Coturnix japonica: one gene and its partners. The main gene of each other region encodes a partner of the protein of the gene in region 2 in a complex. Links are inferred from orthologs where the notes say so. Each region holds a gene or a part of one and is shown on either strand. Other genes may lie near its edges.

Region 1 (4,205 bases), on a different chromosome or scaffold from region 2:
GCCCAGAGACAGCAAGGAAACAGACCTTTGCATCAGCTTTACTACCCACTCAGCAGGGCAAAACTTCTACTTAATCTTTCCATCATTCCCACTACCACTGGCACACAATAGAAATACTGAAATATAATTTGCATCACAATTTATTCCTATGGAAGTGTTTTCTTTCTCCTTGCGGTTCCCTTCATATTGACGGAAGCCATGCATCAGAAAAAAATCAATGCTCAGGCATAGCAGCAGGGGAAGACAAAAGAGGCAGGTGTGATGACTTGGCAGAGGACAAGAAGAGAGCAAGAGGAAAGCAGAATGGATTGAAAACCTTCTGTGAATGTTTGCTGAACGTTTATCCTCATTGCTGCCAACTGGGAGGCTGGCTATATGCACCACAAAGTAACAGGGTGTTAAACCAGTACCATCATGTTAGTATTAGAATCTCCATCAAGACCTCTCAAAAGAGATAGAGCTTCTTCCCCCTGACAGACAGCCCTAGCAGGACTGCAGCTAACCCAGCTTATGCTTAACCAACAGCCCCAAAGCCTTTCAGATAACTTACATGACACCTTGCAGGACTTTCTGGGGATCCAGGTCAAACAATCTGTCGACGTAGTGGCGGCTGCTGGCTGTTACCTCCTGCAGAGGAAAAACAATGACTCCTTTTTAATGAGTTTTGATCAATTCATATGATGGCTGATAAGCAGGAATAACTAAAGCAACAGCAAGTCTGTTGCTTGTTGAAACCTACCAGGCAAGATAGCAGCAAAACCACAGGATCATATTCAAATGCGCAGTACGTTACTGCTGGGCAACATCTGCACAAAGAATTAACCCTGTGTTTAAGTGGGACTTAAAGAATAAGATGTACTTAACATGGGTAGCAGCACATTGCAAGTCAAAGCAAGTTAACGGAGTGCTGCTAGGTGCTTGTGTGGTCACGAACAGGACACACAAAAGGGGTCTCCTTCAGATATCAGCACTACCTTCAATTCCCATTTTATTGTGTTCAATTACTACACAGAAAGAAAGAAAAACAACCATGAATTCCTGCAAGAAAAACTTGATAAGAGCTGTTACTGTTGCTCAAGAACCGTGCTGACAAACAAGCTCACGAAGAGAAGGAAGCTCACATTAAGACACTTTGCTGTAGGGCGCCTTATCACCTTCACACACTGCAGGGACAGTCACCTGCTCCAATGACTTATTCTGTTTGAGAAGATCCAAAGTTGGAGATGGAAAACATTCCAAAGGTATGGGTGGGAAAGGAGAAGGTAAATTTCCCTCTGGATTCTCACAAACACGTGACAATGTATTTCCATTATCTCACTGTTTTTTTCTTCTTTCTTGCCAACTCAGCATTTTCTGATACTCTTCCCATTAACAGTTTTACTTGAACAAAGTTATAAAGGAATTGCAAACACTCCATTGCTTTGCAAGCACCCACTCTTGGCTAAACCTGTGCCTCTTTGCTTGGAGACAGCAGAGCTGCCAGCAGCACGATGGGGTCTCACAGAAGACTGGGAGGAGGAGCTGGAGGCAGCAGGACTCCTCAGCCTGCAAGATGGCTCTTCAATTATACTATGAAAGTCCTACAGGCGAGTCATTCAGATTTACGGGCTGATTTTCAGGTGGTGCTGTGTGGAGCCAGGAGTTGGAAGTGATGACCCTTATGGGCCCTTTCCAATTTGGGAAATTCTATCATCCTCTGTGTAGCAAAGAATAGATCTGAGGACAACACGGGACTTCCATGTGTCTGCTCCACATCCTCATCCACAGAGACACTCTGGGTTTTGGAGATTCCTCTGCTTTCTGTTTCTAAAACACGCTGCTTTATCAGCTGGGGGAGCCTCATTCATAACCTGGGGCCGCAGCGAGCACAGGTTATGTCCATAGGACGTTCATACCGAGGCCACCAAGTTCTCAGGGCGGGACCCTCAATAAGCGCTATTTCCCCGCACCGCGGGGTTCGCTTAGTAACAAATCTACACCGCAGCCCCGCGGGTGGCAGCGCCCCGCACAGCTCGTAGGGCGGGCGCCGACCTCACGGAGGCACCGCGCGGCGGCGGCCAGCTCAGCCCAGCAACTCCGCAGCGCCCGGCCCGGCCCGGCCCTGCCCTGCACGCCCCCTCCCTGCGGGGCCCGGGGCGCGGGCAGCCCCGCGTGGGGGCGGGCGGGGGCCGGGCCGGAGCCCAACGAGCGGAACCGCCGCAGGAGTTCGGAGGGAACCGCGGCGTGAAGCGCGTCAGCGAGTGGGGGGGAAGAGGGGAAACACGGCGGAGCGAACCGCGAGGTGCCGCCGCCAACGCACAGCGGAGGGCGGCGCTGCGGGGACAGAGCCCCGAGCGGGGAGAACTTGTCGGGACGGGGCACGAGGGGGAGCGGCCACCAAACCGCCGCCAAACCGCCTCACTGCGGCCCGTGCCCGTTCCCGCTGCCCCCCGCCGCACAAAGCGCCGGGACAGTCGGGCAGGTGCCGGGCCGTCCCCGCCGCCCGCGCAGCCCCAAGGTCAGGCCCGGCCCCGCGGCCGCCTCCCCGCCCCGGCTCCGCAGGGCCCGGCCGAGGCACCGCGTTACTCACCGACAGGACGCTCATGCGGAGCGGCGCCTCCAGCACACACGCCATCTTGGCGGACGCAGCAGCACCGACAGCTCCGCCGGCGGCGCCCTCACGCGCGCGCCGCTGTGGCCGCCGCTGGGCACGGGCTCATGGCGGGGCGAGGCGCCGCCGGGCGGGACGGGGGGGCCACGGGGGGCGGAGCGCCGCAACCTCGCGGGCGGCGAATCGGCCGATGCAGAAACTGCGCTGCGTGCTGCCGGCACAACCAGGCGGCGCGTGCGCGATGGGCTCGGCGTGACGCGCATGCGCACACCGCCACCGAGAGACCGGCGGGGAACGGAGCCTGAGTGAGAGCTGGGTGCAGCGCTGGAGGGGGGGGCTGAGAGCAGAGCAACGGCACAACCACCTCCATCATCCTGCCGGTCACACTGCTCTTGATGTGACCCAGGACACAATCGGCATTCTGGGCTGCAAGCACGCATTGCTGGCTCACATTGAATCTTTAACCCTGCTCACCAACCATCCCCTGCCCAGCCTGTGTGTGCTGGGCATTGCCCTGACACAAGTGCAGCACCTTGTACTTGCCCTCGTTGAGCTCCACCCGGTCTGTGCCTGCTCAGTCAGCTCCTCTGTATTCCCCCAGGTAACCTGCTCCTGCTTTAACCCCTACGGACTTTCTTTTTGAGCTCAGTAAGTCCAGTTGCATCCTTGTTGATCCACTGAGGCCTCCAGGCATTCTTGGCTGCCTTCCTTCCTTCTCCTCAGCACACGCTGCTTCTGGGCTTGGAGGAGACGGTCCGTGGATACCAACCAGCTTTCTTAGGCCCCTCTTCCTCCCACGTCACCCTGCCAAGCAGATCCCAAACAGTTCAACATCTGCTTTCCACATCCAGGGACATTTGGAATCTCTACAGATCATGAAGTTACCATTCTGTCTTGGTGTTCTCCTGCTTTCTTGAAAGCCAAAACTCATTAAGCAGAAAGGGCAACAGAACAAACCAAACCATAGAAAGCCAGACTAAAACAGGCTATTAAAGGTGACCTATGGCTGGAGTAATTTTTCAAGTTCTTACTATATTTTCTACTTTAAAATTGCATATGATACTACAGAGGGAACCCTTTACTACCATGATAGTCTTCAGATCACAAGAAAACAGGCATTAATTTTTTTGCACCATAGACCCAAAGGATACTGAGCTATTTTCAGTATATTGGTTACTTTAATGGTGACTTCAGATGACCTGAGGTTTACTCTGAACATTCCTAATCCTTCATCCTATCTTACTACAGCTCTCTTTGGTGGATGTTGTGAAGGGAAAAGCATTAATACCGTCCTACAACTCAGTCAACAAGACAGTGTCCTTTGGGGGTAGGAGAAATTAAGAACCAAGATGTTAATGGTATCAGCACACCAGTATAGAGCTGTTAATCAGACCTGTACGGAGCACTGACACATATATATATATATGAATACTTATATGCCGCTTTTTCCATGATGAACTGCTGAGAAACAAAATGCATCTCAGAACATGAAACTGATGGTAAAGATGGAAGTTTAAGTGTTTGCCTGCTACAACCCACACCCCCAACCCATTTCACCCATGGTTCCCTGCTCCATTCTCCTGTAAAGATGCCGCCTTCTTCACACAGTTGGGCA
Region 2 (4,283 bases):
TCAAAGACCAGAGGAAATAACTTCAGAAAAACAGTTCTGTTGTCAGAAAACTACAGACACAGCAGGGAAAGCTTGAGAAACTGCATCACTGATGTAAGAAAAGAGAAGAACCAATTGTGACCACTGGCTTCTTTGGCCAGACCCATCTTCTCCCCCTTCCTTGGACACACTTCCTTGGTCCAGAACAACAGATCTTCATCTGTGTTCAGGCATGATTCATATTTTAACAAAAACATCTACCACTCTTTCACAAATGCTGGGCCTTTTGTGGTGCCTCTGAAGTTACCTAATATCCTAGAGGAAATTCTGTGATCCTATAAGATACTTTGAATGCCTTCTTTTGAGACCGCTACTTGCGGCTGATTTGTAGGGACAACATTTCAAAACACTAAGCACATTTCTGCATGCTATCTGCTCTCATGTTCCTCACTGAACCTCCTCATTTTCCTCCCTTTGACTGCATTCGTAGGGCTGTAAGATCCAGAGGAAAAAGGCCACAAATGTTTCAGTTATTTCCCCACGCAGTGCCTCAGGTAGGAGTGTCTGATACCTCACACTGCTGAGCCCAGGTGCCAGGCTGGTAACATGCACCGGGGCTGCCTTCACATCCACCTCCATTCAGCTCCCAGGGAGAAAAGAGGGGCCACTTGAGAGGCCATTCACTCCCACTTGCAGCTAGGAGAAAGAAAAACCCATTCATGACACCTCACCTCTTCACAGACCCCTGGACTAATTTAAGAACTCTCCAGCCTCCATCACTTACTATTACTTAAGAGCAAGAGAAATGGCATTTTATTCCCATAACCTACCAACTGTGCTTCACATCTTCCAGTAGAGCATCCACGGCATTTCCTACACTGTCTTTACTTCAGAGGCATATGGAGCCTGCTTTAATTTCTCCAAAGCAACACATTTCTGGTTTAATACTAAGGCGAAGAGGAGGAAACCAGAAATAGCACAAATAAAACCTGAAAATACACTTCTCCAATTACAGCGGCTGACCAGAAAGTCTCTAAATTCTAGTTCATGAGCAAAAAGAGCAGGGCAAAGCAGAACACACAGGAGGACTTGATGGCCATAAAGCTATGATCACCCTATGAAAACAAGTAAAAAGCAACTCAAACCGACTGCAGCCACTAAGCGGCAGAAAATACAAAACGCTTCTAAAAATACGAGGGCATGAAAAACTGAACAAAAGCCAGGAAATGTGAAGTTGGGTATTAAATAACACGTCCTTAAAGCACTCGGGGCCTCCCAGAAACCTGCTCTGTAGCTGGTCGCCAGCCTCCCACACTAGCTTCATACGGCACAGCACGCTTAGCATTTTGAACAGAGTATTCTGTATGTCATAATAAAGCCTCTCTATTAAAAAAAAAACAAGTCCCCGAGAGTACATTTAATCCTTTCACGGCAGCCAAATCCTGCCATGTGTTTGTGTTGCCGTTTTCCCCCTCCGATTAAACAGTAACATGTTTATCGGGATTTCACTCGAATTTCACCACACAGCACAACCCAGAAGGGTGACTGCGGGGTTGTTTCCTCCCCACCCGTTCGCTGGGCACTGACAAAGGAGCCGGCTCCTCGCCGCCAGCATTAGTGGTGGTGAAGCGCAGCCACTCTCCCCTCGGAGCAGGCCCGGAGCACCAGATGTGGCCGTGTTTTTTCAGGTCAGAGCGTACGCCGGCCGTTTCCAGGTTTTATGACATTTCATAACAACCAACACTCGCCGCTTTCCTACGCTCGCTCGGATCCGTACGCGCACACGGCTCGATTTTTATCTTCCTTCGGAGAACCAGCAAGTTGAACCAGGAGGCAAGAAGTTACCAAACCACCTTAGCAGACACAAGTCCCTCGGCCACCCCTTCCCTCGCAAAGCTTCATCCCCTTTTCACCCCTCTTCAAAGCACACCCCTGCTCCCTCCCCTCCCCCCCGTTTCCGCGTTCCCCGCAGGAAGGAGCCCCGCACCGCCGCCCCGGGGACGGCCGAGGCCGGGGCAGGGATCGCGGAGCCGGGCGGGGGGGCGCGGAGGAGGAGAAGGGCGCGGAGCGTTATTTCCTGTTATTGTTGCCCCGGCCCTCACCTTTGTAGTGGACGCGCAGGTTGCCCTGCGAGAGGCCGATGTAACTGAATTTGTCCTTGGGGCTCCAGGAGCGCGGCAGCGGCGTCTCGTCCTGGTTGACGGCCGGGTACAGGCGGTGGAGCCGCCGGTTCAGCTCCTTCTCCTGCTCGTTCAGGGCCGGGTCGCCGTGCGGGAACGCCGCCGGGGCGCCGCCGCCGCTCCCCGCCGCCAAGCCCGGCGCCCCGCCACCCCCGCCGCCCCCCGCGGGCCCGGTGCTGCCGGCGGCTGGAGGCGGCGGCGCGGCGGTGGCGGGCGGCGGCGGAGGGTGGAGCAGGAGCGCGGCGGCAGGCGCGGGGCCGGGGCTGGACGCAGCCGAGGGGACCCCCGGCGCCGGCGGCGGAGCGGCGGCCGCCAAGGGGAGCGGCGGCGGCGGCGGCTGTTGCTGCTGTTGTTGCTGCCCGGACATCCCGGCTCCGGCCTCCTCCTCCTCCTTCTCCTCCTCCTCTCCGCGGCGGCGACCGTCAACGGATCGGCCCGAGGCGGAGCGGCGGGCAGGCCCCGCGCTGCGGAGAGAGGCGGCCCTACCGGCGGGTCACCCCTAGCCGGAGCGCCTAGTAGCGGGGGGGGGCGGGGGCGATGACGACGGCGGGGCTGCCCGATGGGAGCCGGGGGGCGCGGCGGAGCAGAACCAGGCCGGAACGGGCCGATGGAGCGAGCGCTGCACGGAGAGCGGCGCCGGGCGGAAGCGGAGCGGGCCGGGAGCGCGCCGGGCGCCGCGGCGGGGCGGGGCGGGCTCCCCCTTCTCTCCTCCCCGTCCCCTCCCGTCTCGCGTGCGCGCCCGCTCCGTCCAGCCCCGGCGTCCCCCGTCAGCTGCCGCCCGGCCCCGCCTCTCCGCTGCACGCAACAGCGATGGGCGCTGAGGTGCGACGGCGGTGGGCGTCGCTATGTGGTGGAGAGCGGGGCTTGTGGGCCGTGAAGCTGCGGGGAGTCTCGGTGGTGGGGGAAGTTAGGTAGTGTGTCTTCTTACCCACGCATACAGCGTTGTTGTTTCATAAGCGGTTGCTTGCGGTGATTGTTTCACGTGAAGGAGAACCTCCTACAAATTTGGGACACGTTTAGGAGAGGAAGGACTTCTCTAGAGCCTGAAACATTGGGAGCTTCAGACAGTGTTTCCAGCTGCCAGAAGGTTGGAGAACAAGCACGGGAGCAGGAAATAGGGAGGTTAATTGCTCTACACCCGTGCCAGCGAGGTAATGCAGGTGTGATGCGCACCTACGCTGATAGGAAGCTGAGTGGGTTCCTCAGAGCCAGCAAGGTATCTGTCAGGTGAGGCAGTGCCATGATGTAGTGCAATGGCATTCTGGCTTGTATCAGATACAGGGCAGCCAGCAGGCACAGGAAGGTGATCATCCCTCTGTACTATGCACTGGTGAAGCCACACATCAAGCACTGTGCTCAGTTTTGTGCCCCTCAGTACATGAAAGACATTGGACCCTGGAGTGTGTCTGGAGAAAGACAATGAAGCTGTGATGGTCTGGAGGACAAGTCTTACACGGATTCCCTGCCTCTCACAGGCTGTCCACCAGCATGTCTAAGCTCTCTTTCAAGCATCCTGTAAACCTTAAACCTCGGGATTTTAGAGTTTATCTATCATTTGGCACTCATCAGCTATCTGGGGATATATTTGCTCTGTTCATAGCTTTTCTGAATTTCAGTGAGCATTTTTGCTATCGCTATCAGCCGAGGCAAGTGTCATGGCTGACACTTCCTTTCCCTTTTTTCCCACTGCCCACTGTGAGATGGCTGCCATCGAGCTACAGTGTGCTGTACAACGAGGTGTGGTGGAGTCGCCATCCCTGCTGGTGTTCAAGAGGCATCTGGATGAGGAGCTATGAGATATGCTTTAGTAGCTTCTGGTAGCAGTGGTGATAAGAGGATGGTCGGACTATGTGACCATGTAGGTCCTTTCCAACCTTGTGATTCTATGACCTTTTCACTGAGGTGGGATATGCTGGAGGCTGTTCCAGGAGACAGAATTAATTTCTCTATGTAGTGGTATTGCAACGTTCCATTTTAATCAGTATGCCATTTATTGCTCCAATGCTCCATTGTCTTATTAGCTTTTCTGACTACAGCTTCATGAGGATTAGAGAGAGCACACAGGTATTTACATAAATGCCTGGTGTCTGCTCTTCAGTCAATGTAAATAAATCAGAATTTGTC
Region 3 (4,052 bases), on a different chromosome or scaffold from region 2:
TTATTTACCCAGTGTTTACGATCCACATCTTCATCAGCATCCCACTTGCGTGTTAAGAAAGGGTGCTTTTTACTGATTATCTCCCCTTCAAAGAAAGTAGTGAGGGTTGGGTATTCCTAGGAGAGAAGAGAGGTAAGATTTATCACTTAGTGACCAGAACTCAGCAAAAGGCAGCATTTCACAGCAAGGATCCTACTAAAGAATCTTGGACATGCACAGTAAGTAGTGTCACACCCATGAAACACCTCTCACTGACTGCTCAGCACAGAGCAGACCACCCTGGGCGGATATGGACAGAAGCACATAAAGATCTCACTTGTTTGGGTCTTATGTTTTCTCCTAGCGTGCTGGAGGTGTGTCCAAAGCTGACTGCAGGGTCAGGCTGGATTCAGTTCAAACCCTAAGGGATGCCAGACAAGCTTCCCTCCTTTCAGGTCTCCCATCAAGGCCCATCATATTTGCTCTATATGCCAGGAACAGCAGAGTTAAGCCATTAACCTACTTAGCGGTCAATTTTGCTGTATGCTCAATCCCTCTGCTACCTCCTTCTAGTGGTAGCTTCTCCTACCTCACTAAGAAAAGCCTTTGAACAGCATCTTCCCATGCTGTTTTGCAATTAGCACTCACCTCTGTAAGGCCTTTAATCTTCAAGTATCCACAGAGATAGGAGTTTTCCATGTCCACGTGCTAGGAAAAAAAGTGCAAAGTCCTACTATTAGCATGCACAAGAAGGCACTCCATTGATCCAAAGCTATTTCTAACCCCAAGAGTTTCCAAGGCTCAGTTCTGCTTCAGCTGGTACTGAACATCCACCTCACAGTCACCCCTTCCCCAGGGCCGGGGGGGAGGCTGCATCTCACCTCCTCTGCTATGCAGAAATGAAGCAGTGGGATGCTTCTGCTCTGAGCGCTTTTCAAGCAGGGGGATTTTCCAAGCCTTCCCCTGACACCTCCAGATTGGTTTTCAAAGCAAGAAGCGAATTATTTAGGGAAGTGCAAACATCAGCTGTGAGAAGATGGCTCTTCCCCACCTGTGATCAAAGAAAAGCCACATTGCTCTGCGCTCAGTAACAGGGAGAGCAGGCAGCCATCTCTTCTCATCTGACACGCACAGAGCAGCGTCTTTAGCACAAAGATAGAGCCAGCCTCTGCGAGAAAGCAGCATGCAGTGAACTAAACAGCCATAGGATGTCTCCGTCAGAACAAACTGTAGTGGGTACAGTCATGCTGTTGACAAGTAGAAGACTGGATGTGAAAGCAGAGGGCACAGTTCACACTGCCCCATCTACTGACCCTGGGGCTCTGACTTTGCTCCCCAATGCCGAGCCATGCACCAGGCTGCAGCACTGCTGCACACCCAGCCTGGGTGCCCCGATCCAAGAGACTCACAGCAGGAACAGCGCTGTGATTTGCTACAGGAAAACATGCATCAATGCCTGGCTTCCCCATGCACTAACTCCACACCTCTACCCAAATTGAATGTGCCAGCACCTCTGACTAAAAATAAAGCACGCAGGGTGACAGTGACTCCAGAGAGGATTAGGAAAGCCCCATTCTGCAGAACTGTCTGCTCACATTCCCATTACAGCAGAACTGCTGCACCCCTCCCCTGGTTCCTCACGCAGCCACTGGCACCATGGGATGAGGAACACAAAGCCCAGCACAGGGACCTGGATCCCTGCTGAGTTCCAGCCAGGCCTGAAATACAGGCTGTCCCACTGCTCGGGACTTCCTGGGCACCTCCCAACACGAGGCAGGATCCCACCCTTCCTCATGGCAGCCCAGAGGCACACGGGCACCCCAGGCCTGAGGGGAACGAGAAGGAGAGTCCTGCTGGCAATAGCAGGACATGGGGAAATGGTTTTAAGTTAAAAGAGGGAAGATTTAAGTTGGATGTCAGGGGGAAGTTCTTCACTAGGAGAGTGGTTAGGCCCTGGAACAGGCTGCCCAGGGAGGTTGTGGATGCCCCGTCCTTGGAGGTGTTCAAGGCCTGGTTGGACGGGGCCATGGGCAACCTGATCTATGGGGTCTCTATGGGGATCTATGGGGTCTCCTGGGCAACCTGATGTAATAAATGTGTATGTTTGGTGGCCCTGCCAGGCAGGGGGTTGGAACTACATGATCCTTGAGGTCCCTTCCAACCCGGGTCATTCTGTGATTCTGAGAGCTGCTGTTAAGTATCTCAGCAGCCACAAGGAGAAAAGGGGCAAAAGTGTGAGAGGAAAAGAGAGGAAGGACCCCGGGTCCCATCAGCCCTGAGGGGATGGAGCAGTGAGGGGCAGTGAGAGCCGGGTGGGGGCTGCAGGAAGGGCCGGGGCTGCAGGGAGGAGCTTATGGAGATGGGGGGGATCGGGGCCGGGCGGAATCAAGGCGAGGGGAACCCGGACAGCGGGGAGCAGAGGGGAAGGAAGGGAAGGAAGGGAGGGAAGCAGGGAAGGCCTGAGGCCCAGCGGGGCCCTGTGGGCGCCGGACACGGTCCCTCACCTGCATGACGACCTCCACCTCGTACGCGTTGCCTTTACTGCGCTGCTGCCCGCGGAACTTGGCCCCGCTGTACAGCAGGGATGTGGCCACTCCGGGCTGCGCCGTGTTGATGGGAGGCGGCGGCACCAAACTGCTGGCGGCCGCTCCGGACGGAGCCGATGATGCCGGTCCCGCCGCTCCGCCCGCTCGGCCCCGCTCGCTGCGCACCGGCATCTCGGGGGGGTCCCCGGGCGCCAGCGTGGCCGGGGCTCAGCGGCCGCCACCGGGGCCGCGCTCCGCTCCGCTCCCCTCACGCCCAGGCCGCCGCCGCCGCCGCCTGGCTCGGGGCCTCCCGGCAACGCCCCCGCGCTCTCCCATTGGCCCTCGCGAAGCGGCGAGAAGGCGGGGCGGAGCTCCGATTGGCGGAGAGCTCTCCTTCCCGGCAGGTTTTACGGTGAGGAGGCTGCTGGGAAATGTAGTTTGTTCGCCTCGCGCCTCACGCGACGGGAAGGCCGAAGGGGCAAAGCGCGTTCTGTGCTCCCATTGGGCGGAGCGGGGCAACATGGCGGCGCCCGGGGCGACAAGCTGAGCCGGGGGAGGCCGCTCCGAGCCGGGGTAGGCCGCAACGCTCCAGCTCCGTTCGCCGCCCCTCATCGTTCCTCTCGGCTCCTCATCGTTCTCTTCGGCTCCTCCGCCGCCATGTGCCGCCTCCTGCAGGCCCTGGGCCGCATCCCGGCTGTGGCAGCCCGGAGCCGCCCGCTGTGTCCGGGTGGGAGTCGAACATACGCCCCTCCCGCAGGTGAGGAGCTGTGGGCCCCGCGGGGAGGAGCCCGGAGCCCCGTGTGAGAGCGGGGGAACGCGGGGGGTGTCGGTGTGTGTGTGTGTGGGGGGGGATTAGTGGGAGCCCCCTCCTCAAGGTCAGCTCTTGCTGGCTGGGGGAGGGGTTGGGTTCCGGCCTTCAGAATGGGCTGAAGAAAGGAGGAAGAGGGAAAATGGGCTCCGAGGTGGGTAAGGAGGTGGTGGGGCGTCACTGCGCTGCTTTTCCATCAGTGGGTTTGAAGGTTCCCTTTGGTTGCGGGTGGGATGGCGGGGAGCTCCACCAGCCCCTCCCAGGCACGTGCTGGGCTGTGCAGCCCCTCTACAGATATTGCTGGAAACACGAGGATGGGAGTCAGGGTTTCATTGAGTATCATGAGGCCAATGGGAACACGCTGAGGTGCCTGAATCCTCCCAGAGCTGTGCTCCAGCACTGCAGCATTTCCTGAGGCCCTGAAGCTTGTAGGAGGCTGAGTGGATCCCCATCCTTCTCTCTGCTGGGCCCGTGTTGGCAGGGCACAGTTCAGTGACAGCCAGGAGGTGGATTCAATGGGCTCAGCATTTACGAGCTGGTTGTAATTGTCAAGGGAATCTTCTGGGTGAGACGTGTGGGCTGCGGTGAGCTGAGGACAGTGGTTCCTCCCCAGTGACTCAGCTGCCACGTGCAACGTGTCTGACACATGATCCAGTTGCTGCTGCACATAGGGTTCATGGTTCCTCCAAGTGGTGTCTGCAAGAAATCTGCTCCTATGGGTGGTCAGGAGATCTGGGGCA

Evidence for each region. The genes of interacting proteins can lie anywhere in the genome.
Region 1: the proteins of RANBP9 (region 2) and ARMC8 are in contact, whole or in part, in a cryo-EM structure (PDB 7NSC), measured with the Homo sapiens proteins. The link is inferred for Coturnix japonica from reciprocal best matches to the Homo sapiens genes RANBP9 and ARMC8. Residues at the interface, in NP_005484.2 of Homo sapiens: Tyr271, Gly298, His299, Ser300, Leu301, Gly302, Ile303, Asp337, Asp340, Tyr341, Arg343, Glu344, Thr347; in NP_001350870.1 of Homo sapiens: Gln245, Arg246, Asp247, Val277, Leu278, Lys279, Ile317, Ile320, Thr321, Asp322, His323.
Region 3: the proteins of RANBP9 (region 2) and GID4 are in contact, whole or in part, in a cryo-EM structure (PDB 7NSC), measured with the Homo sapiens proteins. The link is inferred for Coturnix japonica from reciprocal best matches to the Homo sapiens genes RANBP9 and GID4. Residues at the interface, in NP_005484.2 of Homo sapiens: Ser223, Lys224, Gly225, Arg226, Asp227, Gly228, Tyr229, Met230, Gly256, Asp257, Thr274, Phe275, Thr276, Thr277; in NP_076957.3 of Homo sapiens: Leu187, Arg189, Asp194, Glu195, Asn216, Asp218.

What each region holds. Positions count from the first base shown.
Region 1 is NC_029524.1:2,407,680-2,411,884, reverse strand, and holds the start of ARMC8 (armadillo repeat-containing protein 8), read right to left. Parts: upstream 2,810-4,205; 5' UTR 2,615-2,809; coding exon 2,570-2,614; intron 628-2,569; coding exon 551-627; intron 1-550. UniProt on the Homo sapiens protein: Component of the CTLH E3 ubiquitin-protein ligase complex that selectively accepts ubiquitin from UBE2H and mediates ubiquitination and subsequent proteasomal degradation of the transcription factor HBP1.
Region 2 is NC_029517.1:68,373,406-68,377,688, reverse strand, and holds the start of RANBP9 (ran-binding protein 9), read right to left. Parts: upstream 2,833-4,283; 5' UTR 2,527-2,832; coding exon 2,082-2,526; intron 1-2,081. UniProt on the Homo sapiens protein: May act as scaffolding protein, and as adapter protein to couple membrane receptors to intracellular signaling pathways. Acts as a mediator of cell spreading and actin cytoskeleton rearrangement.
Region 3 is NC_029529.1:5,014,066-5,018,117, reverse strand, and holds the start of GID4 (glucose-induced degradation protein 4 homolog), read right to left. Parts: upstream 2,810-4,052; 5' UTR 2,697-2,809; coding exon 2,484-2,696; intron 688-2,483; coding exon 628-687; intron 117-627; coding exon 9-116; intron 1-8. Other genes in the region: ATPAF2 (ATP synthase mitochondrial F1 complex assembly factor 2), read left to right, coding at 3,162-3,261.